Linked DNA regions of Drosophila melanogaster. The protein of the gene in region 2 interacts with the protein of the main gene of each other region in a pairwise test. Each region holds a gene or a part of one and is shown on either strand. Other genes may lie near its edges.

Region 1 (8,889 bases), on a different chromosome or scaffold from region 2:
TGTACTGTGCGGGTTTTTAAATGCAAGTTATAATATTAGTCAATTTGATTTAAATGCTTTTTTCTTGTTCCAATTAGGTAGTCAAATTCATTTCGCTAGAACTTCGTTGCCATCAACTTTCTGATAGCTTGTACTTGATTTTCTTCGATTTTGTTTATGAAATTCGATTGGAGAATCAACAAATGTTGATTAGGCTATAAGGTAATCCAAGGATGCCATGAAATTTTACTCGCACTGGCATTCGCATGACGACGACAGTTTTACACAAGGGGTTCCAGAAGCAAACTTCTATCCGAACAAAGCAGACTACACCTGGAGACACAGAGCTTGTGTATAAAATCTAAAATTATCTATATATATATATATATATATATATATATATAAATTCGGGCATCAGGATGCGGAAGGTCCAAGTTTTGGTTCAGACGCGCGACGGCAAGAAGACCGTCTACGAGGTGGATCGCTTAGGAACGGTGGCCAGCCTGAAGGCACGGATCGGGCAAGTCATGTCCGTGCCCATGGGCTTCAGTCGGCTGTCGTACAAGGGTCGCGTGCTATCCAATCAGAGCGTACTGGAGGATTTGGGGCCCAATAAGTCCACCCTGGATCTCACCTGGAAGCCGGTCGTCCTGACGGCCAATCAGAGCAGCAAGTTAAGCAAGTTCGGCTATGGCAGGATAGACGATAGTGAAGTTATGTTTACACTGATCGGTGGCTATCAGCAACGCGAAGAATATCCTGGTGGCCTAGTCAATCCACCGGACGACGAAAGTCAACTAAACTTCAACGCAGGTGACGATGATGATGCACTGGAGGCCCAGGACATGACTGGACACGATTTGTCCTCAATTCAAACCGATGATTTATCGCTCAAAGGCCAGACGGAACCGGAGCTGGATTGCTCCATTGGATCTCATGGATTCTCTGGATCTCAAGAAGAAGGCCACGAATAACGACAATGAGAAGTAGACTGTTGTAAATTATCTTAAATTAAAAATATTTAGTCGTCATTTAATTTCGAAATTCCTTTAAGCCAAACGCTTCGATTTGGAATCTAAATTTACGATACAATAATAAACCTTTAGTCGATTTCGTCCATGATGGAAATTTTACAACAAATGCATTACACTCATTTATATATAATATTTATATAATCGATAAAAAAGATCGAATATCGAATTTATGAATCATTTAAGTAATTTCTTCGAAGCAGTTAGCATTTCATTTCCAATTGTTTACACTCAAACAAATAATTAACGACTAAAATGGCATGGCCAATGCCATAACAATTTTTCAAATTTATGTATTATTTATGGACTGCATGGTACGATCTGCTGCGATCGAAATGCTTCTGAAAATGCCAAAAAAAAGGGGAAAAAAAATTAACTCAAAATAATTGTAAACAGTAGTGCGGCAAACGAAAATCAGGGAAAAACATTAACAAGCAGTTGTTCCATAAATCCAGGACGCAACTGGATGCGTAGATTTATATGGAAGGGGTGAGTAGGAGGGAGGGTAAACAAATCGATTCACTTGGAGACCCCGTGTGCCAGGTAACATATACTACTACATGCTATATATAATAGATATACCATCTATATGTATACATATGTATGTACCCACTAATTGGAATGGCCGTGGCTGATGAAAAGCAGACGCACCCGGTTAATCGGGCTGTTTCACTTTGATCGGTCCAGTTTTCTCGGCTTCCCCGGATCTCCATCTCCGCTGGGCCCACATTCCGGGCTCCAATGGCCAACAGACGCCATTTTCGACCGCCCATCTCACTCCCTCTTGTGGCGGAGGTGGTGGCCGCCGCTACACTGAGCGCAAATGTTGCTCACAGCTAATTCAAATTTCGTATGAAAAATTAGCAGTAATCCTTTTTTTTATGTATTAAGTATTAATTCATATTCTCTTCGTATTTCTTATGTTTAATGCAATTTTTTCCAAAAACTTATGATTATTCCAAATGAATTGAATTTTTTGGGTGCGCCTTGCCAACGTCTTAATATTCCGTTTTCCTTTTTACGGTTTATTTAGTGTCGAGGTTATGGCGCAATTTGTATTTATGGCCAACAGCAGCAGCAACATCTCGGCTGCACTGCAGCATTGAGCGGAGCACCGCGAGATCCACGAGCAACCAGCACCACCATGCGTGCGGCAGTCCAATTAAAAGCGTTTTCCAAATGAGGCCCATGACTCTGGTCGGCCACCCACTCCACGGGCCACGCCCACTGATCAGCGCGCCCCCCTGAAAAAAAAGAGAATGAAGAAAACAATATGCAAAAGTGGGGATCACCTGCTCCTCCTCCTTCTTGATCTTCTCCACCGCCTGCTGTTTATGGTCAAAGACCACGCCCCTTCAAAAAAAAAAAAAAAAACAAGAGAGAAGTAAACAGTGGAGCAGAAATTAGTGAAACGTGTGGAGAGTACAGTGATCTATATACTCTAAAGGATACCTCTATACTATTTACATGCATTAAGTTATTAATATGATCAAATTAGATTACATAAATATAACTATGTTAAGCATAGTTTGCATAAAACCAAACAAAGAGTTGCAGATAGCAAACCCCAAGTGTTCACCAAGTTCTAGGCCTCACTGTAGCCACATCTGGTAAATGCCTTGCGCGCACCCTACGCTCAATTCTGCGCGGCATATTCATCCACTTGATACTAGGCTAGATCCCAGGCGAGCCAACACATGTCGGTGCGATCCAAGGAGGAGTAGAAGGAGGAGAAGGAGAAGGAGGAGGAGGAGGAGATGGAGGAGGAGGAGGTGGCCGTGCGGCCATTGGTGGATCGATTGGTGCGGCTGGCGAGTCTAAATTTGGATGCTGCGGCCGGCGATTGGCGGATAGATTTCTCGATTTGGGGAGATGGTCCGTACAATGCGGCATCTTGGGATCTCGAGAGGCAGCGATGCATCTGCCCAGCAGCAGCAGCAGCAGCAGCCGCAGCAGTAGTTGTTCTCATTCGGCGGACCAGCGCTTGACGGAACGGATGTGTGCGTGATCAGAGATCTAGGCATCCAGAGATCGCATTCGAAATCAGATCAGATCGATATATCCGCGAGATATAAACATAGGATACTATACGGGATAATCAGTTCGCACTTGGCCGGAAGAAGGTGGCAATTGAGACAACTCAACGCTTTCTGCCAGTCGAATTAGAAAGAAAACAAATAAAAGAAGTTCAAGTCAATCAATCAGCTAACACAGGGAATTAAAAACAAAAAACAAAAAAACAAAAAACAAAAAACTACAATCGGGCAAATTTTCGCCAGTCAACGCGATCGGGCCATAAAAACAATTCGAAGAGAATTAATTTGATTTTTCATTCGATTCTTGAACTCGATCTCGATTCTGATTGACAACAGCGAAAGGTTGGCGTTGGATTTTCGCACCACTACATACTTTTTTTTTGCAGTGCACAGTGAGTGAGTGAGTGAGTGAATGAGTGAGTGATTGTGTGTGGGTGCAATAATCAAATTTGACAACTGCGCGAATAACGTTCGAGATCAAAACAAATTGTGCCGGAATAAATGGAATAAATGGGCCAAGAACTCGCTGCGATTTCCTTTCTTCCACTGTGAGCATCACATATCCAGCCATCATATATATATATCATATATATATATATTCCAACGATCACGCTCGCCATGACGCACCTGATGGGCCCCACTGAGTGCGCCGGCGCCATGATGACCACCACATCCATGCAGTTCCTGGACACCAGCCTAACGGACTACAACTGCTATGGCAACGACTACTGGACATCGCCGTACATGACCGGCGGACTCAGTCCCATGAAGCAGATCGAAGGTGAGTCGTTTGAGTTGACTTAAGCTGGAGAGGATTAGGCAACTCTACCGCGGAGTATTTTAAATCGGATATTAAGATATTAGGTTGTGTACCTTTAAAAGTCGCAAACAAGCATACAAGTAGATTTTTAATATGTTATAACTTTTGCATGAACTTTTACTTTTGTTTAGACTTTTAAGTCCTGTAAAGTATATTTTTTTTTTACTATCTGTTTCAAAACTTAAACTAGAAAATAGGCTTTTAGTTTATATTAGCATACTACTAGTTAAACATATTTTTCCAAGATTTTATTAGCTTTACCTTTCAGTTCAATCGAATGTACAACTAAAACTTCTTAAATTCAAATATATGCTTTAAATATTTATCAAAGAAGTATCGCGTAGCAAACAAAAGGCGAAGCAACAAAAAAGTCATATTTTCCATTTGACTATTCGATATTATGTTTTTTGTTCAAAAATCAGGCAATGGAATTTTGCTAGCAAACAAATGTATATATTCCATATCATTTGTCTGCCTGCAAGTGACCCAAAAAACTGAAATGGAATCCGTTTGCGATAGAGTAATTAGCAAAATACACCGAGCATGGCAGCGGCGGCACAAATGACATCCAAAAGTTTAAAAAAAAAAAAACTGAGAAACTGAGAAACTGAAAACCAGAGAATCGGAAAACCAAAAGATCAGAAAACCAGAAAACCCGATCAATTAGCTCAGAATTCCCGGATCCCCGAGATTTCAAGTGGCATTTCTCTCGTGTTTGTTGTTGTTTGATGTTGTGCATGTGACAGAAAAACGATTTGTTGTGCCAAACGTTAATTGATTTTAGAATTCATTCGTGCAGCAAAAAATGCTAAAAAAAAAAAATCGAGGAAAATGGGCAACTATTTAGCGCTAAAGCGGCTAAATGACCTGTCATGGGTCATTCGCGGCATTGATTGCCATTGCGGCAATTCCCGCAACTGCGAGCCCAGTGACAATTAATTGCTGAAAATCTCATCTCATCCCATGCAATCCCATACCATACCATACCATACCATTTTACAGGCATCCCCCGAAAAGGGGAGATCCTAAATTTAGAGCATGCAACTCAATCAGCAGCCGCCGCTACTCAGACGCCTCTTTTATAATTGGACATGTTGTCCCATTTGCCCCAAACTCGCAACTCGAAACGTACAAAAAACAAAAAAAACAAAAAAAAAGAAGTCGGTGTGTGGATATATCATCAAGTGATATTATTACAAGACTCCTTTAATCAGAATTCAGAACTGTGAACTGCGAGCTCCAGAAGTGAGAAATCTGCGCCGGCGTGGCGTCTACGTGCTTTCTGCCCCACTTTCTCATTTAAATCGCATAAATCACATTGAGTATGAAATTAGCAAATCCCAGCAGCTATATACATGCATATATATTTTATATATATAAAACCCATTCACTTGCTATAGAATTTATACGCGCTACGTGTTTGATTTATAGTCGCATATTTTCCGCCCATTTGTCAGTGGGATATGAAAAAATACAGGGGCTTGAATTGAGATATCTTCATTATTAATTAGTTTATAAAGGGATAAGGATAGTTTATAGGGATATCCAAACTATAGTTTTCTTTAAAGTAAATCGAGTTTTGTATAGATTTTTTACATATTTTACATAGCCACATGGATTACTTGATCATTCTTCACTTTTAATGAGCAGCATTTTATGTTACATTACTTTTACTACTTAACCGCCACTTTAACCGCGACTTTAACCCGCACTTTAACCACCACTTTAACCAGCACTTTAACCACAACTTTAACCCACACCTTAACCTCCACTTTAACCCGCACTGTAACACCAACTTGTGCTTCACTGCAGCCTGCATCCAAACGGCTGGCAAGGATCGCAGCTCGTACAAGCCGCTGGAGCAGATCGATGCCAAATTGGCGGACATCGAGACGCACAGTACAGGCAGCACTGGCACCGCGAACAGCAACAGCAGCACCAGCAGCATCTCGAATCCCAGTTGCCCGGATCAGTCGTCGTCGTCGTCATCGTCGTCCGTATCGCTGCCAACCGATTATGCCGGCGTACACAGTGAAGCCTCGATGGCACCAACAGCCGGCGGCACGGCAGTCACAACGACATCAGCTGGCGGAGTCAGTGCATCCACCGCGTCCAAAAAGTTCAAGGGACAGCACAAAAAAGACAACAACAGTGCGGAGAACGGTACAGTGAAGCCCAATAGCCATAATATCAGCAAAGGTGTAAGTAAATTCAACGATGGGAAACGAAATAAATAATAGATCATTTAAAATATATGATTTCCAATTGATAATTAAGGAATCGGAGCCAGTGCATCCATCGCTGGCCCAGGCCATTGTGGTGCTGGAGACGAAGGCGCTGTGGGATCAGTTCCATGCCCAGGGCACCGAAATGATCATCACCAAGACGGGCCGACGCATGTTTCCCACGTTTCAGGTGAGGATCGGTGGTTTGGATCCACATGCCACCTACATTTGCATGATGGACTTTGTGCCCATGGATGACAAACGCTATCGCTACGCCTTTCACAAGTAAGTTAATGTTAAAAAGCCATGGCCACATGGAATTCGATGAAAATGATGCACTTCAATTTGCAACAGCTCCTGCTGGGTGGTGGCTGGCAAGGCGGATCCCATTTCCCCGCCCAGGATTCATGTGCATCCCGACTCGCCAGCCGTCGGCTCCAATTGGATGAAGCAGATCGTGTCCTTTGACAAATTGAAGCTCACCAATAACCAGCTGGACGAAAATGGACATGTACGTTTCATTACTTATATAGATAGATAGATAGATATATAGATAGTTAGATAGATAGATAAATAGGTATATTCAAATCCTGCCTCTTCATCTCCAGATCATTCTGAACTCCATGCATCGCTACCAGCCGCGTTTCCATCTGGTTTATCTGCCACCGAAGAACGCCTCCTTGGATGAGAACGAGCACTCCAGCCACTTTCGCACTTTCATCTTTCCGGAAACGAGCTTTACGGCCGTAACTGCCTACCAGAATCAGCGGGTGAGCATGATATATATATGATATATATATTGTTAATATATGATATATATTGTTAATCGAAATATGCTGGTTGCTATTTGTAAACATTTACCATAATGATTTATATGTATTATCAATAAGTTCATCTTGGCATTCGAAGCGGCCAAAAAGGCCGCGACCATTTTGTGCCATTTTGGCCTTATTGTTTATGTTTTTCCCATAATTTATAACAAACGGCGGCCAAAGCTAGCACAATTTCAACCATAGCGAATATATATATGTATATATAACAGCAATTGGAAATGCGAGCACAGACCATGCAGATACTCTAACCCGAAAAAAAAAATATTAAAAATAAAAAAGTAGCATACACAAATACACAAGATTTTAGAAACCACGTTTCCAATGCACTGTGGCTTTCATTCGAAAAATGGGGAAGATAAGATTATCAGGTGGGATTGATATCAGGTGGGTGCATTGATATTAGTAATGAACAGTGAACAGCATATCTAATCGCAAGTTGAAAGAACTCTCGACATACATATGTACATTGTATACCCTCGGTTTTCCACATTTTTTTGTCTTGGTTGTGATTCATAATGATGGCCAGGGGGAGGGGGAGGGGGGAGGGAATTTTGTGGGTGGCTAAAAATATAACCATAGACATCGTTGGGGCAAGTATTTAAATTATTTATGTGGGGGTGTTAACACTTTTTCCACCCGCCCTCGAATTTATCGCAAATCATTTTTACCCCGCCGCCAGCGGAATGCCACATATGCCACATAAACATATTTTCTTTTATTATTTTTTTTTTTTTTTAATTTTTTTTTCACTAATTTGTTGGGTATTTAATTTATTTGTTTGGCCCGCCAGCTTGTCGGCATGCCTCAAGCGCTTTTCCAGTCGAATAAAAATATTTTCCACCAATTTTCCGGCCGTCTTGCAGGTGACACAGCTGAAGATCTCCAGCAATCCATTCGCCAAAGGCTTTCGGGATGATGGCACCAACGATGTGTAAGTAGTTCCAAATCTTTTTGTTATTTTAATTTTTTTTTATTTTTACCTATTAACTATGAAAGCTGAAATCAGCTTGCAACTATATTTTAATGCGATTTCATTTGTCTGCGAAAATGTGGCAAAGTAATTTGATTGTCTAGCATTGTGTTAAAAAAAAAAAAAACATGTGCTTAAAATTAGTTCTAGATTTTTGACACGAGCATTTCAAAATGCTGAATGAATAAATTTCAAAATATATATAATAATAATAGTACACAATTTTCGAACGTCTAGAAGTAGTATAAATGTAAATATGTAATAATAATAACAAATGATAAACAAATTGACCCACTTTTCAAAACTTGAAATACACAAATGTCCAAAGTGGAGCTAGACATTCGGTCGACATTCGGCATAGATATTCCCGGAAAATATTGAAAAACTTCAAATAACGCAACAATAACTCAAAAACAAAAGAACTTCAAAATGCCGAGAATGTGAAGCTGGAATGGAAATGGAAATGGGAATGGTTTAGGGAATGGGAATGGGAATGGGAATGGGACTACTGATGATGATGGTGATGGGTGGACTGACAGATGTGCCGGGCGGCATAAACAATTTATTCGAAGGGCTTTTCATATTTGTCGAACTTGCCAGGCCGCGACTTGGTAGCATAGTGTAAACAAATTCCCCAATTTTGTTTACGATCGTGGTGCTTAGGCAACTTGTTTATTACGAGGAAATACTTCAAATAATTTTCATTTCTTTTCTCCGAGTGTTTGGCTTATGGCTTTCGGCCTGGTTATGTTACAAATCATAACACTAATATTTATAATATTGCACGTTTTTACACTTGGCCAACTGAGCAGCATTCGCTGTAGATTTAAGCTGTAAATGTTGCTTCATGTTAGTTATATATTGTATATATATTTTTATAAATTGCCATTGTTTGACATTATAGAACCACTGGCGGTGGCAGCAGCATGTCCTCCATGAGTCACGAAAGTCAGGCGCGCATGAAGCAGCAACAGCAGCAGCAGCAGCAGCAGCAG
Region 2 (7,414 bases):
TGAACCAGTTGCACACTTGGAGCACCGTCAGATTGGCCTCCTGGGACAGGGTGAACTTCTCCGCATCGCTCGGATAGGCGTTATAGCGGTGCTCATAAAGCCAACGCTTTAAAATCTTTACAGATGACTTGGGCAGATTTCCGCGACGTTTGCGCAGCGACCCATTAATGTCGACGTGGTGTTCACTGTCCACCATCATGTCGTGGTAGTTTTGCACCTGGTTGGCGCCTTGTTCGGTGCTCAGATCATTCCCAACGACGGCGTGAAGGGAATCCTGGTCCAAACTGGAGTCCGAGTGGAAACGGTCACGTCCTGGAGAAAAAAACGGCCATAAACAAGACTGATCTCAACCGGGATATAGGAAACTCACCCTCGTTGTTCAGCAGGCTCGCATGGACATGAGCCTCGTGCATCAGGTCCTTTATGTTCTGCCGTACATGGCGATCCAGGACCATGTTGACCTCCTCTTGTTCCGGCGAGATCATTGCAGCTCAGACTTAAGCTTCAGAAAACAGAAAATTCATTAAAACACAACCAGAATCGGTGTGCAAATATTGAAAGGAAAAGCACAGTAACTTTAATTACAATTTTTGCAAACAGAGAAAATTGACACTTTTTAGTTTCTTTAGGTGTTGTCACCACAGACTTTGAGATTCAACTAACTTTTCCCGAGGGCAGGCAAGTCATTCAGACACCAAAGTCATGGCCAACTAGGGTTCAAAAACAAATTTTTTCAATTGATTTTTAAAAATGGTTCTTTTCAATCGGTCTGCTTGTATCGAACGTATTAAAGTAAGTAATTAAGTACAGGAGAATTTTATAAATATTTAAAATTAATTAAGTTAGGGCCAACTATCGATAACTATCGCACAAACATTGCGCTTGCACACGAGAGACCATGAATATTTAGACAAATTCACTGCGCGCCCAAGTAACGGGCGTCTCGAAATGTACTTTTTACCTTATCCAAAATTTATAAAAATTTTGATTTGTAAAATTTAGACAAGCGCATTTATTTGGTCAAATGTAATATCATTTTGATTTCAGAAGATTTGTATGTTGGAGGTGCGATCGTCACTTGTTATACCCGTTACTCGTAGAGTAAAAAGGTATACTAGATTCGTTATAAAGTATGTAATAGCAGAGGGAAGCTTCTCCGACCATATAAAACACATATATTCTTGATCAGGATCAATACCCGAGTCGACCTGTCCGTCCGTCCGTCTGACTGTCCGTTCGTATGAAGTCAGGAACTATCACAAGTTTGTGGACCTATTTTGCCACGTCCACTCCAACGCTTTCAAACCGTACAAAATGCCACTCCCACACTTTTGAAAAATGAAAACTTTTTGCCACGCCCACTGTAACGCCCTAAAACAGCGCAAAACTCACGCCCTCATTTTTGAAAATTTTTGGATATTTCTTTTTTCCGAATTATCTATCAATACCCCAGAAAAATTATGAAATTTCTTGTTCACATTTTCACATATATGTACCGGGTATCTGATAGCCGGGGAACTCGAATATATCATTCTTTTTTTTTGTTCTATAGCTTTATAGTTAAAAATCGAATCATTTTGTTTTTGCGCCACTCTTTATTATCTGTGGTAACCAAAGTATTCCAATACATTTATAATATTTATAACAAAATTAATTTTGTCCTTCCACAAACGTTCTCATTTTATGTATGTATGTGTACATAATTACTAGATACCTTAAAAAAATGGCTCTATCAGCCAATTAGATAAAACACACCATCATTTTATGGCAATGTGTATTTCAAATGCTTGTTTATGTTTTATTTAAGTATCAGTAGTGTACATGTTAAGTTTAAAAGAGTCAGGTCCAAAACTAAGTCGATTTGTTTGTGAATTGACTTTGTGGAAAAAGGTATTTGGGCGGTCGCATTGCGAATTGATCTATAGCTTTGTACGTTATGTTAGTAACCTACTCAATTAACACAATAACATGGGGGTTATAGACAAATTTTTGGGTCTAGTGCTGTTCGATTAAATTACTTAAGTATATATATATATCTATATATACATATTTGTATATACACGCTTCGGCACTTTGGGAAGTCGGGATCTGTAGCGTGGGTATTTGGTTTGAGGCTCTAGTCTCCCATGTAAACGAAATCGTCATCCTGGACGTCATCGTTTTGGCGCACAGCCATGGCAGTTTCCACTAGATAATAGAGACACTTGTACTTGGCACGCTCATCTGGACTTGTGCCTAAAGCAAGATTATAAAATAATTAAAAATTCAATATAAAGTTGATAAAAATAGGTATAGGTTACCCTGCGACATAGCAGATAATTGACTCTGGCCAGCTTCTGCTTCGGCACCGGTAAACACCTCGTCCGCCTGTAGATTGTCACCAATGTCCTGTTGATTGGAGTTGGTAGGATCGATTGTCTGGATTTCTGAGGCCTGTATTCTATTCAGCTCGCTTTCAAAGTCAGTCAACTGTTGATTCACTTTAGGAGTAAAAGAGTTGGATATTACCAAAGAAACCGAGCTCTAAGTCTGCAAACTTCACTCACCGTCACGCTTCGCAGTCTGATTGCGATTCCAGATGGCGGTATTCTGAACAGATCCCTTAGAACCAGAGGTACCTGGATTATTGCCAGCCGAAGTGCTGACTTCCTCAGTACCAAATACAGTTCTGGAATTGCAGAGGCCGAGATTACAATATTTTCTTAATACATCCACATAGCTACTTACTTTATAACGCTCTGCCAATCATGGGAGGTCTCGAAGCGTACTTCCTCCTCGCTGTTCGGCCCACAGGACTCGTATCCCTGTGCACTCTCTTCGCCTTCGGACCTGGGGGTAAAAGTAAAATCTTAGCACCGCCACTCGCACTTGAGTAAGATTTAAGGCTCTGGATCAGTCAATGGGAGCAGAAGCTGTACCTAGGAGACACCACGATTCCGCCGTATGAATCCTTATAGCAGTACATGGTTTCTTGCTTATTCCCAGTCTTCTGCTTTGCTTGCTTGGCATTCTCCCTAGGACTCTTTGCAGCAACCGTCCGCGTTCTTACGCGCTTCGGAGGTCTTGGCTTTTCTTCGTCATCGAACTCTGGCGGCAGCTGGCCAAAAAGGCTGTATGGCAGTATTGATGTGGCAGGACTGGAGTTGGAGCTCGACCCACCAGCACCACCAGAGCCAACCGCCGAACCCCCAATGGCGGCAGCCTTGCGCATCTGATAGTTTTTAATTTTATCGATCATGGTTGCTTGAAGCGAGGAGTGAAGACTTTGAAAGCCCATCGGGTTGTTTGCAATGGCCTGCTGCCAGCTTGGAAGAGGAAAAGGAGTTTGGACATAGGTGGGATGGGATAGGAGATAGAAGTGACTAACGCTAGGGAAGCAGGTCATAAAGACCGGTTACCAGTTACCTGTAGATGACACTGTCCTCGTACTCCGGCTCCATCTTGACCATTTGTCCGTTGGGGCCCTGCACATACTGTTCAAAGTTGGTCAGCACATTGGCGATGCCCTCGTGAATCTCACCGGCGCCATCCACCTCCTCTGTAGCGCCAACGACCTGGAGTCAAGCAATTTAGTAACTTCAGTGGTATAATGATTGACCAGAAGATAACACACCACTTCGGAAGCAGGACTTCCGTGTGCGGGATTCGGCCCAGTCAAGTTTGCGCCCAACGCACTTGATCTCGAACAGTTGGGGCTAACCTTTTTGCCACGTCGCGATATGGTGAAGTGCAGAGGATCGTTGCCCTCGCGCCTGATCATCTCCGGTAGAATGCGGCGACGGGCATTGATGAACCAGTTGCACACTTGGAGCACCGTCAGATTGGCCTCCTGGGACAGGGTGAACTTCTCCGCATCGCTCGGATAGGCGTTATAGCGGTGCTCATAAAGCCAACGCTTTAAAATCTTTACAGAGGTCTTGGGAAGATTTCCACGACGTTTGCGCAGCGACCCATTTATGTCGATGTGGTGTTCACTGTCCACCATCATGTCGTGGTAGTTTTGCACCTGGTTGGCGCCGTGTTCGGTGCTCTGATCCTCCTCCACGATGACGTCAGCGTGAAGAGAATCCTGGTCCAAACTTGAGTCCGAGTGGAAACGGCCGCGTCCTGCAGATGACATGCAAAAAAAACGGGCATGAACAAGACCGAACTCGACCGAAATATAGCAAACTCACCTTCGTTCTCCAGCAGGCTCGCCTGGACATGAGCCTCGTGCATCATGTCCTGGATATTCTGCCGTACATGGCGATCCAGGACCATGTTGACCTCTTCTTGTTCCGGCGAGATCATTGCAGCTCAGACTTAAGCTTCAGAAAACAGAAAATTCATTAAAACACAACCAGAAACGGTATGCAAATATTGAAAGGAAAAGAACAGAACTTTAATTACAATTTTTTTTTTTTTACAAACAGAGAAACCTGTCACTTTTTAGTTTCTTTAGGTGTTGTCACCACAGACTTTGAGATTCAACTAACTTTTTCTGAGGGCAGGCGTCATTCAGACACCAAAGTCATGGCCAACTAAGGTTCAAATACGCATTTCAAATCGATTTTTGATTTCTTTCCAATCGGTCTACTTGCTAAATCGATTAATTTCCAAGGAACTATACATTAAACGAACGTATTACAGTAGTGAATTAAGTAAAGAAGAAATTTAAAAATATTTAAAACAAATTAAGTTGGGGCTATCTATCGATAACTATCGCACTGGCACACGAGAGACCATGACATATAACATGTCAAATTGACACTTTAACCAAAATATTTTGACAAATTCACTGCGCGCCCAAATAACGGGCGTCTTGAGCTCCCGGGGATTCACCTGCGATGTCCGAATGGGTGCCACTATCATTTATTTACACTAAACACTGGTTTTCCCAGTGTTTCAGCCAGGCCCCGGTTACTGCACTCAGCAAACTGTAGTGACGGGGCAGTCGTCACAACCGTAGTATCGAGGCCAATTAGACAAACTCTTTTTGCAGACAACGTAAATATAGTAACGAACGTTGGGGAAAGCTATTTTGGCACTGGTTTTAAAGCGTTTTATTCCTTTTCCTTGCTGCGTGCCAAACAACAAATTAGTGGCGAAAGAAATCCGATAGCCGCTTATGTGCGATAAATCATGGATGGGGGTCCACTGGGGAGTTAGTTCAGTTGGCAGGTTCATTTGAAATTTGAACAGTGGCGCCAAGAATAAATACAAGTTTTGTTAAGTATAATTTGTTTAAGAATTATAAACATACACTAGTTATCTCTACGCTGGAAATTAAATCTACATTTAAAATAAATAAGTTATATTTAGAATGTACATAATTTTTTCTAAATAGAACAAACTATTTTTTTTATAAGTTTTCAACCTTTCAAGCTTAAGATTTATGTTTTAAATGTCTTTTTCGATAACTATATAAATTATCGATATGTATAGACGTTACTGTCCTAACCTATCGACGACTGAAAAGGTTTGTTTTGTTGCAAGTTTATAAACAAACAATGGAATGCGTGCTGGACGAGGAGCTGCTGGCCAATATTAAATGTAGCGACCAGGAGGAAGAAGACGAGGATGGTGAAAAGATGGAGGTGGAGGAGCGGCTGCCGCCGGTCGATTCCACAGTCCAAAGTGCCTCCTTTAACGGAGATGACTCCGATCCGCTACAGGAAGCAGTATGCAATTTTCCCTGGATTTTCGAGGACAGCGACATGCTGATGAACGAGGACCAACTGGCTGACGTGGTGCTGAAGAAGGAGGATTCCGCCAGGCCAGCTGCCCCGAAGCGAGGACGTGGTCGTCCACCAAATAATAACGGAAACTACACATCTCCTTGTGGGCAGCTATGGAGCGTGACCAGGAGCCCAGATATTTCTGCAGAGGATCTACCCCTTTTGGGGCAACAGGCCTGTGGCAAGGGACCCGCCCGAACAGTGTCCAATGCAGTGGAAGCATGGATGCTGCTCTTCGATGATGAAATGCTGCGGTCTTTACTTCGCCATATCAATGAACAGATGCGTAAGCGGAGAACGGCCACAAGTGTCCAGAGACCCCTAGACGTTGTGGAGCTGCGGGCATTCTTGGGTCTAAGCTACCTTTGTGGAGTGTTCCGAAATGCCAGGCACAATGGGCCATTGGATGAGCTGTGGACCCTGGAGCTGGGCAATGCCATATTCCGAGCATCCATGTCGCTCGCTCGATTCGAAAGCATTTCCGAGTGTCTGGCGGGAAATTGCGGCTGGTCCGAGGGCCAAAAGCTCTGGCAGCGCCTTATAATCAATTGCAGATCCTACTACGGCTGCAGCAGTTGGTTGACCGTGGATGAGACATTCTGCGCGGTGGCCAAGTCACGGATGACCCTCTGCTGTGATGCCAGGACACTGTACATGGCCAATGCAGTGGTAAGCAGAAACCAGAGATGTCCGGACAAGGATGTAGAACAACTGATCTGCGATTTCAAGACCACGGGAAGAAATGTAACGCTGGGATCACGGTATCTAAACTTGACGCAGTGCGAGCAGTTGGCGCAGCGGCAAATAAGCTCGTTGGGTAAGCTGGAGGCCAATTCGCCACATTGGCCGCGGCAGTGGCCCACAGAATCACCCTTGTTTGGTGGCAGCTCAAAACTCATTCCGCTCGATGGCGACGCAGTCTTCTGCTGCGGTCTTAGCTCCCAAGTAGATGCAGTCCAGGCATATGAGCAAACCTCAGAAGCCTGTCAGCAGTTTTACGAACACTCCCAGCGCTTCAGCACAGCCCACGCTACGCCCGCACCCTTGAAAAAGCAGATCAATCCTTTTCTGCAACTACTTCACTTTGTGCTCAACGCGGCTGCCGTGAATGCATGGATCCTGTTACGACTTTCGCCCAAAGGCGATGCCGCTATGGATCAGCGCGACTTCCAGAGACAGTTGGGACTCTTCCTCACACAGCAGAGATTACAGCGACGCCTTCAGCGAAGATCCACCAGCACTTCGCTCGTGATGCGACTGCAAATCTGCGAAATCCTGGGCCAATCCAGTCAGCGGCTGCTCAGTGAGGCGACCGGCGAGGCGAAACTAACGCACAGCGTAGGCGTGCTAACACCCGACAAGATGAGCCTGCCCTTGGGCATTAATTTGGCTAGTCGGTACGGAGAGAAGCATCGCAGGTGCAAGCCCTGCGCTCGAAATAAGCGTGGCACTAAATCGCGGACGCGGTGCCAACAGTGCTTGCAACATCGATGCGGCAACCACTTGATATCCCGCTGCTACGAATGCGTCGGCATTTTGCCTGGCCAACTGCCCGAGGGCAACATGGTGGATGAAGGAGCCACCTGAAGATGGATATTAAATAACATTTATTGAAGAGACACTACATTCCTTGTGGGGGCTTGCAATATGGGGATGCTTGCAATATTGCTCAATGGTGCAAACACTTGTGCTGTAAC
Region 3 (5,947 bases), on a different chromosome or scaffold from region 2:
CCGCCAGAGGAAGTGGAAATGCGCAGATTCGGGAAGATAGCGAAGGCCTTGGGCAACAGAACGGCACAGCAAGTGTATAGTCGTGTCCAGAAGTATTTCCAAAAGCTGCACGATGCCGGAATGCCTGTGCCCGGTCGCATACCCAAGCATCGACGTCCTGGTTTGAGTAAGCCGAAGATCAAACTTCGCAAGTCAACCTTCTTCCCCGCTCATAATATATCGCTACAAATGCCAGAGGACGATTTCACATTTGACGACCTGCGAATCCCATCGCCTGCGAGCGATATGCTCCTTATGCCGGCATCCAAGATCGAACCAAAGATCGAATCCGAGTACATGGATGCCGATCTGAATGCGGAGTCAAAGCGAAAACAGGAACTATGCCTTAAGCTTCTATCAGCCATTCAGGACGAGAAACGGGAAATGGAGGACGGATATGAGCCAGACTTGCTGGCCGCCAAGTGTGCCGAGTGCGAAGAGGCATCTGTGACCAGGACCCAATGGCGTTGTAACAGTTGTTATTGTTACCTTAATCTGTGCGGAGATTGCCTGGCCAGTCAGCTAATCGAAGGGCGTTTCGAGCATTTAAGTCATGAAGTTGTAGTGGACCAAGAGTCATGACGCTCCTAGAGTCCCATTTACTTGAGTACTAAATTACTAGACTTGCCTGTAAAGCTACAAATTAAATATAAAGAGAATAATTTTAAAAAATTCTATTTTATTTATAAAAACTTAATATTAAATGGTATAAAAGAGAGGCCCTCTTAATTGCGCAATTGGGCAGATGATTTCGGCAGAGATTGAATACGCTGGCGACGCTTTGCTTCGAACTCCGTAGCCAGCTGCCATGTTTCTTTGTCCAACGTATCCTTCCCCCGGGCGATGCCCAGCAGCCGTGAGAGGACCAGCAATCCATGCAGATCATCGGCATTACTTTTGACATTAGCTTTACGCATGTCCACGAAATCCTGCTGGATCATTTCAGTGTGCTCCTCGCTCACGTTGAAGCCGCTAGTGCGCGCTGTGGTCAAGTACTTGCGAAACTGCTGCAGACGTGATGGCTGCAGATAGTGGTGGGCTGCCTTTAGAGATTCATCAACAAGTTCCACGGCCTTAGAATCGGCATTAATGGGCAGCACAAAATCGCTCTGAAAACATATCATTAATAGTTTCTATTGGATATAATGATTATTTATATAAACTTATATTCTTACCGGCAACATACTTCGCCCTTCACTGAGCACGAGAACTGGAATATTTGCTTGGTAGTCTATTTGGTAATACTGAAAGTCGCACTTCAGTTCCTGATTATTGATCAAGTGCGCTAAATGCTGAACGGCATGAACACCATTGGCCTCCAGCTTGCCCTGTTGCATGCACGTCTCGTCGAGCACCAAATGCGTATGGGGAGCCAACTGTAGTACGCCGGAAACCAGCTTGTTTGTCTCATAATCCTTCCTGCAAGTACTCATTAATAGGTATTCAATTTTATACTATTTCTGCTTAGCCAACTTACTTTGGGGCAAAGGCTGCCGTGTTTAGTGTGACGAGAGTCATGGGCATGTAATGGCTGGCCGGCAGTAGCAGCTCCAGAATTTGATACAACTTGGTTGCATACGCCTCACAATTCTTAGGGAGATTACAAAGGTTAAGGGCGAACTTGCCGATGCTCTGCATCTCAGAACGACTGTAGACCGTAGATATTAGGTGGGAGAGCAAATACTCGGCAGCCAGATCGTCATCAAAGAGGCAGAGTTTAAGAAGCATGCGCAGATCTTTGTGCACAGCAAGGTGGGTTGGATACGTCTCCTCACATATTTCCGTTGGCTGTCGAAGGCTTTTGTCCAGCAGCGGATTGGCATGCGGCAGCACCTGGACTCCGAAGGCATGCAGGCGGGGTATAAGAAATGGCGATGGATGAGCTGCCTGCAGTTCACTCAAGTTTTCACAATCGTCTATTTCCAGGGTAGCGGCGTCTAGTGAAGCATCCACTGACAGAAAGCCCACAAAGTCGACCAGCGAGTTAAGCTGGTAGGTATCGAACTCCTCGTAAACCTTTACCATGCATGCCATGCTGGGACGATCCGGCAGAGGCGAGTTAATCAGGTAATCAGACCCAAGAACAGAGGATTTGGAGGCGCCGACTGGCTCGCTATCTTTTTGAATCTCTTTTAGGCAGGGTCGCTTGAACGTTGTTTCGCTCGCAACGTCCACATCCATGGCTTCTTCTTCGCCTACAATAGTCCGCTTCTTGGCTGAACTGGGAGATTGACCCAGACTGGCCAAATCGATCTGGGGACAGCACAGCTTCTCATGCTCCTTGCTCCAATCGTTCAGACCAGGCACAGAGACCACGAACATGGTACGCCTCTCTCCATGCACGTTTCCATCGGCGTTGTAGTCAATCACTTCGCCATTGGCTATTTTCAAGCAGTCCCTGTACTTTCCTTCCTGTACACGTTTGCTGCCGTCGGCGGATTTCACTTCGTAGCGCTCCAGATAGATTTCTGGGTCCATCATGTCCTGGATCATTCCACGAAAGCGCACCAGAGTCTGATCCTTCAGCTTGTGAAGAGGCGTGTAGTTGAGCAGGGGAATCGAGTGCCAACGACTGGGATCCTTGAGCAAGTCCTTGAGTGCAGCGCTGTCCGCTTGCTGGGCGGCCAGTTCATCGGGCGTGCTGGGCAGCTCCATCGCACAGGGCATTATCTAGTTAACGAATGAATTTGCAAATGCCTCAAAAACCTCGAATGCAAAAAACAACAGCTGCTTTGGCGCGCCAAAAACTGATTGCAGCATATTAGTGATGGTCATCGATGGGCCTATCGATATCTGCCAGGGATGTCGAACTCTGCCGCAGAACGGATGTAGAGGCGGATGTGGACATCCGCAAAAAATGTACAATTTGAGAATTACCAAAGAATTGCAGCGATGAGCAAGAAGAAAAGCAATGTGTGGCAGTACTTCTACAAGACATCCGGCACAGTGGCCACCTGTCTGCTGTGCAACAGGAACTACTCGAGGCGAGGACGCGGCACAACATGTCTGCGGAATCATCTGAAGAGCAAGCACCCACCGGAGTTCCTATCTCTATCCGGGGACATAAAGTACCTGGACCTGGTTAAGAGCGAGATCTCCATCGGTTCGCCACAGCACCCCACAGCCCAGCTAGAATTGAATCTGCACGTAAGTGGGATAGCATATAGATGTGCATACATACCTATGTACATGCATATGTACTGTGCAAGAAGTGTACCTTATGTGAAATCGGGGTACATGCCCTTCTAGATATTCTGTCATGTGGAGATGGTTTCCCCAAACTTAAGTTTCCATTCAAATATAGTTTCTTTGGTAGTTCATAAAGTAATTTATGCCTTCTCTTATTTAAAACTTTTTACTAATATAGCAACAGCGGATGCGGATTTTTATCCGCGTTTGGCTAGATCGGCAAACATGTGTTGTGTTTATAAAGTGTAGTTAAGGAGGTTTTAAAAATGTACTGTTATGGTCTTAGTATTATATTTTTATAAATTATGCGTTTTTCACTAATCTGATGCATTAAATTATTCTATTAATCATTTTAGGAAACAGATTCAGATCCATTGGACACCGAGGATATATCCTACAGCAAACGCTGTGATGAGAAGTTGGCCCTCATGCTACTAAATCACTCCTTTGAGTTCATTGAAGGACCAGGATTCGTAAATTTCATTAGGACGCTGCAGCCGCGGTACACGATTCAACCAAGGAGCTACTATGAGAAGATACTGTGCGAGGATATACAAAGGAAAATGCATCAGCATTTGAAGCAACAGGTGGATCTGCTGGATGCCATATCGTTGTCTACGAGTCTCTGGCGTGGTGACAAAGGCGAAGGACTGCTGAGCTTGTCCTGCTCCGGAATATCAAGGGATTTTCAGACTCACCGCCTAATGCTGAAATGCGAGGCTCTGAATTACGAAAGCACTTCGAAGCTAGCTTGTTGCATTCGAGATCTTGTGCCCAGCTTGGCCATTGAGGTGCCCAAAGAGAAGATACACTGCGTAATCAGGGACGAGATGACGGCGCTGCCAGGTTCCCTGCCCGATTGCAGTGTGCACCGCCTGCAGATGTGCGTTCGATTTGCTTTGCAATCGAACGAATTACTGCAGAACCTTTCATCCAAGTGCAAGCAAATAGTTGACCATTTTGCGTCGTCTAAGATGGCCAACGATCATCTGAAATTCATTCAAGAGATCCGCTTGACGCGAGACCCGTGCACACTTACACCTTACGATCCCTGTCAATGGAATTCCGCTTTTCAGATGATGAGCAGCGTGTTTCGAATGAAAGATGCTCTATCCTTGTACTGCGAAGAGTATAGTCTGGTCCAAATATATCCAGATGAATGGATAGAGATCGATTTGTGCAGCAAAGTAATGCAGCCTTGTGAAGAAACAATCAAGATATGGAGCAATCCATCTACGACCACCTCATCCGTAATCCCGCTGGTTGCCGCTTTACGGGATTCCCTCCGAACAGATGTCCATAACTTTGTCTCATCTGTGGTAAGTTGCAGTAGATAAAACCATAAAGTATTGTCTAATATTTCGAATGTCTAGACTATATGCAGTTTCGCCAGAAAGTTGCTTGAAGAACTGGAAATGAAGTTCGCCCACATCACTAGCGACATCAACTTTTTGATGGCCACATATTTGGATCCGAGATATAAGCAAGCATTTTTCACCGAACGTGAGGAGCAGTTGGTGGCCAATGAAGTTCTGCTTCAGCTCGCTGGAGTGCCAGAGGATTGCAATGGTCAGCCACCGCTGAAAATAATCAAAGTGTCATCCACATCGTCCCAGAAGAATGAATCAAAGATCGATAGCATTCTGGATAGCATACTGACAACTGGAACGACGAACACTCAACAGCCAAATACGTCAATGGGCTCCCAGTCTCAGATTAAGAATCTGCTATATCTATACAACTCCGAACCCAGAATCGATAGGAACATGGATCCCCTGATTTGGTGGAGGAGCAACATAAAATACATATCCTTGTATGGCATTGTTAGGAAATTCTTATCAGCACCAGCAGCAAGTGTGGTTAGTGAAGGCTTATTTAGAAAATCAACGCACTTGTATTTCGACATGCAGGCGGGCTTGAGCCCCGAAAGTGCATCCAAAATGTTGCTCATGAAGGCCAACTTTAGCTTTAGCAATTCGGAAATCAATTAGGATACAGTAATTTATATAATTTAAACGTATTTATGTACATAATATTAGCTTTAATCTTACAACTACTTGATTTTCCGGAAAATTAGATTTTGCACTTAAGCCGCGTGTATGGCTGATTGCCTGATGGGTCCTAGCCCCTGTAATCAGGATCATTGTGTTCCTCTTCGTCTTCCTCCTCCTCCTCTTCTTCATCTAAATTAAAAACATGTTTTTCATAATGTTGATTCTAAATAAAATGAAAGCTATGAAATTCTTACCATGATCTCGACGTTTACGTGTGTAGGCTCGTTTGCTGGCGACGGGCGCTTGATCAGTTTCGCCATGTAGCAAGGAATTGCGATATAATATCAGCGGCTGCCATTCCTCAGCTCGGCTGGATGGCATTGCGGGTGGTATTATCTTGTCCAGAAAGCTCATTATGACCTTCTTGTCTTGCTTCAGTAGCTTGTAGTTGAACTCGTTCAAAACCTCCAGGAAGAGCAAGCGAGTTGGAGCCCGCACCGGATCATCTGGCTCCTTGTTCGCAGCGAAATAAATGCCACCACGATGAATGGCGGCCACAGATTCGCGATTCTTGATGGCATCGAAACCAAATGTGAGCGCAAATCGCTTGGCCAACTCCTTGAGGTCCACAAACTCTTGCGAACTCTTTGAAACTATGCCATCCTCACTCTGCTCCTGCAGACTCTTAAAGACTGTGATCAGGCTCAAAAGGAGCGTCATAGCGA

What was found.
Region 1: the proteins of achi (region 2) and org-1 interact in a two-hybrid assay, tested with the Drosophila melanogaster proteins (one large-scale study listed by BioGRID).
Region 3: the proteins of achi (region 2) and CG13775 interact in a two-hybrid assay, tested with the Drosophila melanogaster proteins (one large-scale study listed by BioGRID).

What each region holds. Positions count from the first base shown.
Region 1 is NC_004354.4:8,449,070-8,457,958, reverse strand, and holds the start of org-1 (optomotor-blind-related-gene-1), read left to right. Parts: upstream 1-2,889; 5' UTR 2,890-3,664; coding exon 3,665-3,827; intron 3,828-5,678; coding exon 5,679-6,067; intron 6,068-6,143; coding exon 6,144-6,376; intron 6,377-6,445; coding exon 6,446-6,602; intron 6,603-6,699; coding exon 6,700-6,861; intron 6,862-7,787; coding exon 7,788-7,855; intron 7,856-8,798; coding exon 8,799-8,889. Other genes in the region: CG32713 (uncharacterized protein), read left to right, coding at 399-953.
Region 2 is NT_033778.4:12,509,955-12,517,368, forward strand, and holds achi (achintya), read right to left. Parts: upstream 5,109-7,414; 5' UTR 4,822-5,108; intron 4,445-4,821; exon of another isoform or gene 4,390-4,444; intron 4,308-4,389; 5' UTR 4,291-4,307; coding exon 4,176-4,290; intron 4,108-4,175; coding exon 3,614-4,107; intron 3,555-3,613; coding exon 3,406-3,554; intron 3,306-3,405; coding exon 2,919-3,305; intron 2,830-2,918; coding exon 2,728-2,829; intron 2,669-2,727; coding exon 2,547-2,668; intron 2,481-2,546; coding exon 2,301-2,480; intron 2,236-2,300; coding exon 2,117-2,235; 3' UTR 1,580-2,116; downstream 1-1,579. Other genes in the region: vis (vismay), read right to left, coding at 1-312, 371-485; CG13151 (uncharacterized protein), read left to right, coding at 5,490-7,304.
Region 3 is NT_033779.5:6,953,857-6,959,803, reverse strand, and holds CG13775 (uncharacterized protein), read left to right. Parts: upstream 1-2,853; 5' UTR 2,854-2,931; coding exon 2,932-3,186; intron 3,187-3,460; exon of another isoform or gene 3,461-3,496; intron 3,497-3,584; coding exon 3,585-4,547; intron 4,548-4,601; coding exon 4,602-5,219; 3' UTR 5,220-5,349; coding exon of another isoform or gene 5,350-5,411; 3' UTR 5,412-5,447; downstream 5,448-5,947. Other genes in the region: Atac1 (Ada2a-containing complex component 1), read left to right, coding at 1-621; CG3430 (uncharacterized protein), read right to left, coding at 765-1,148, 1,215-1,458, 1,517-2,706; SA1 (stromalin 1), read right to left, coding at 5,350-5,411, 5,477-5,947.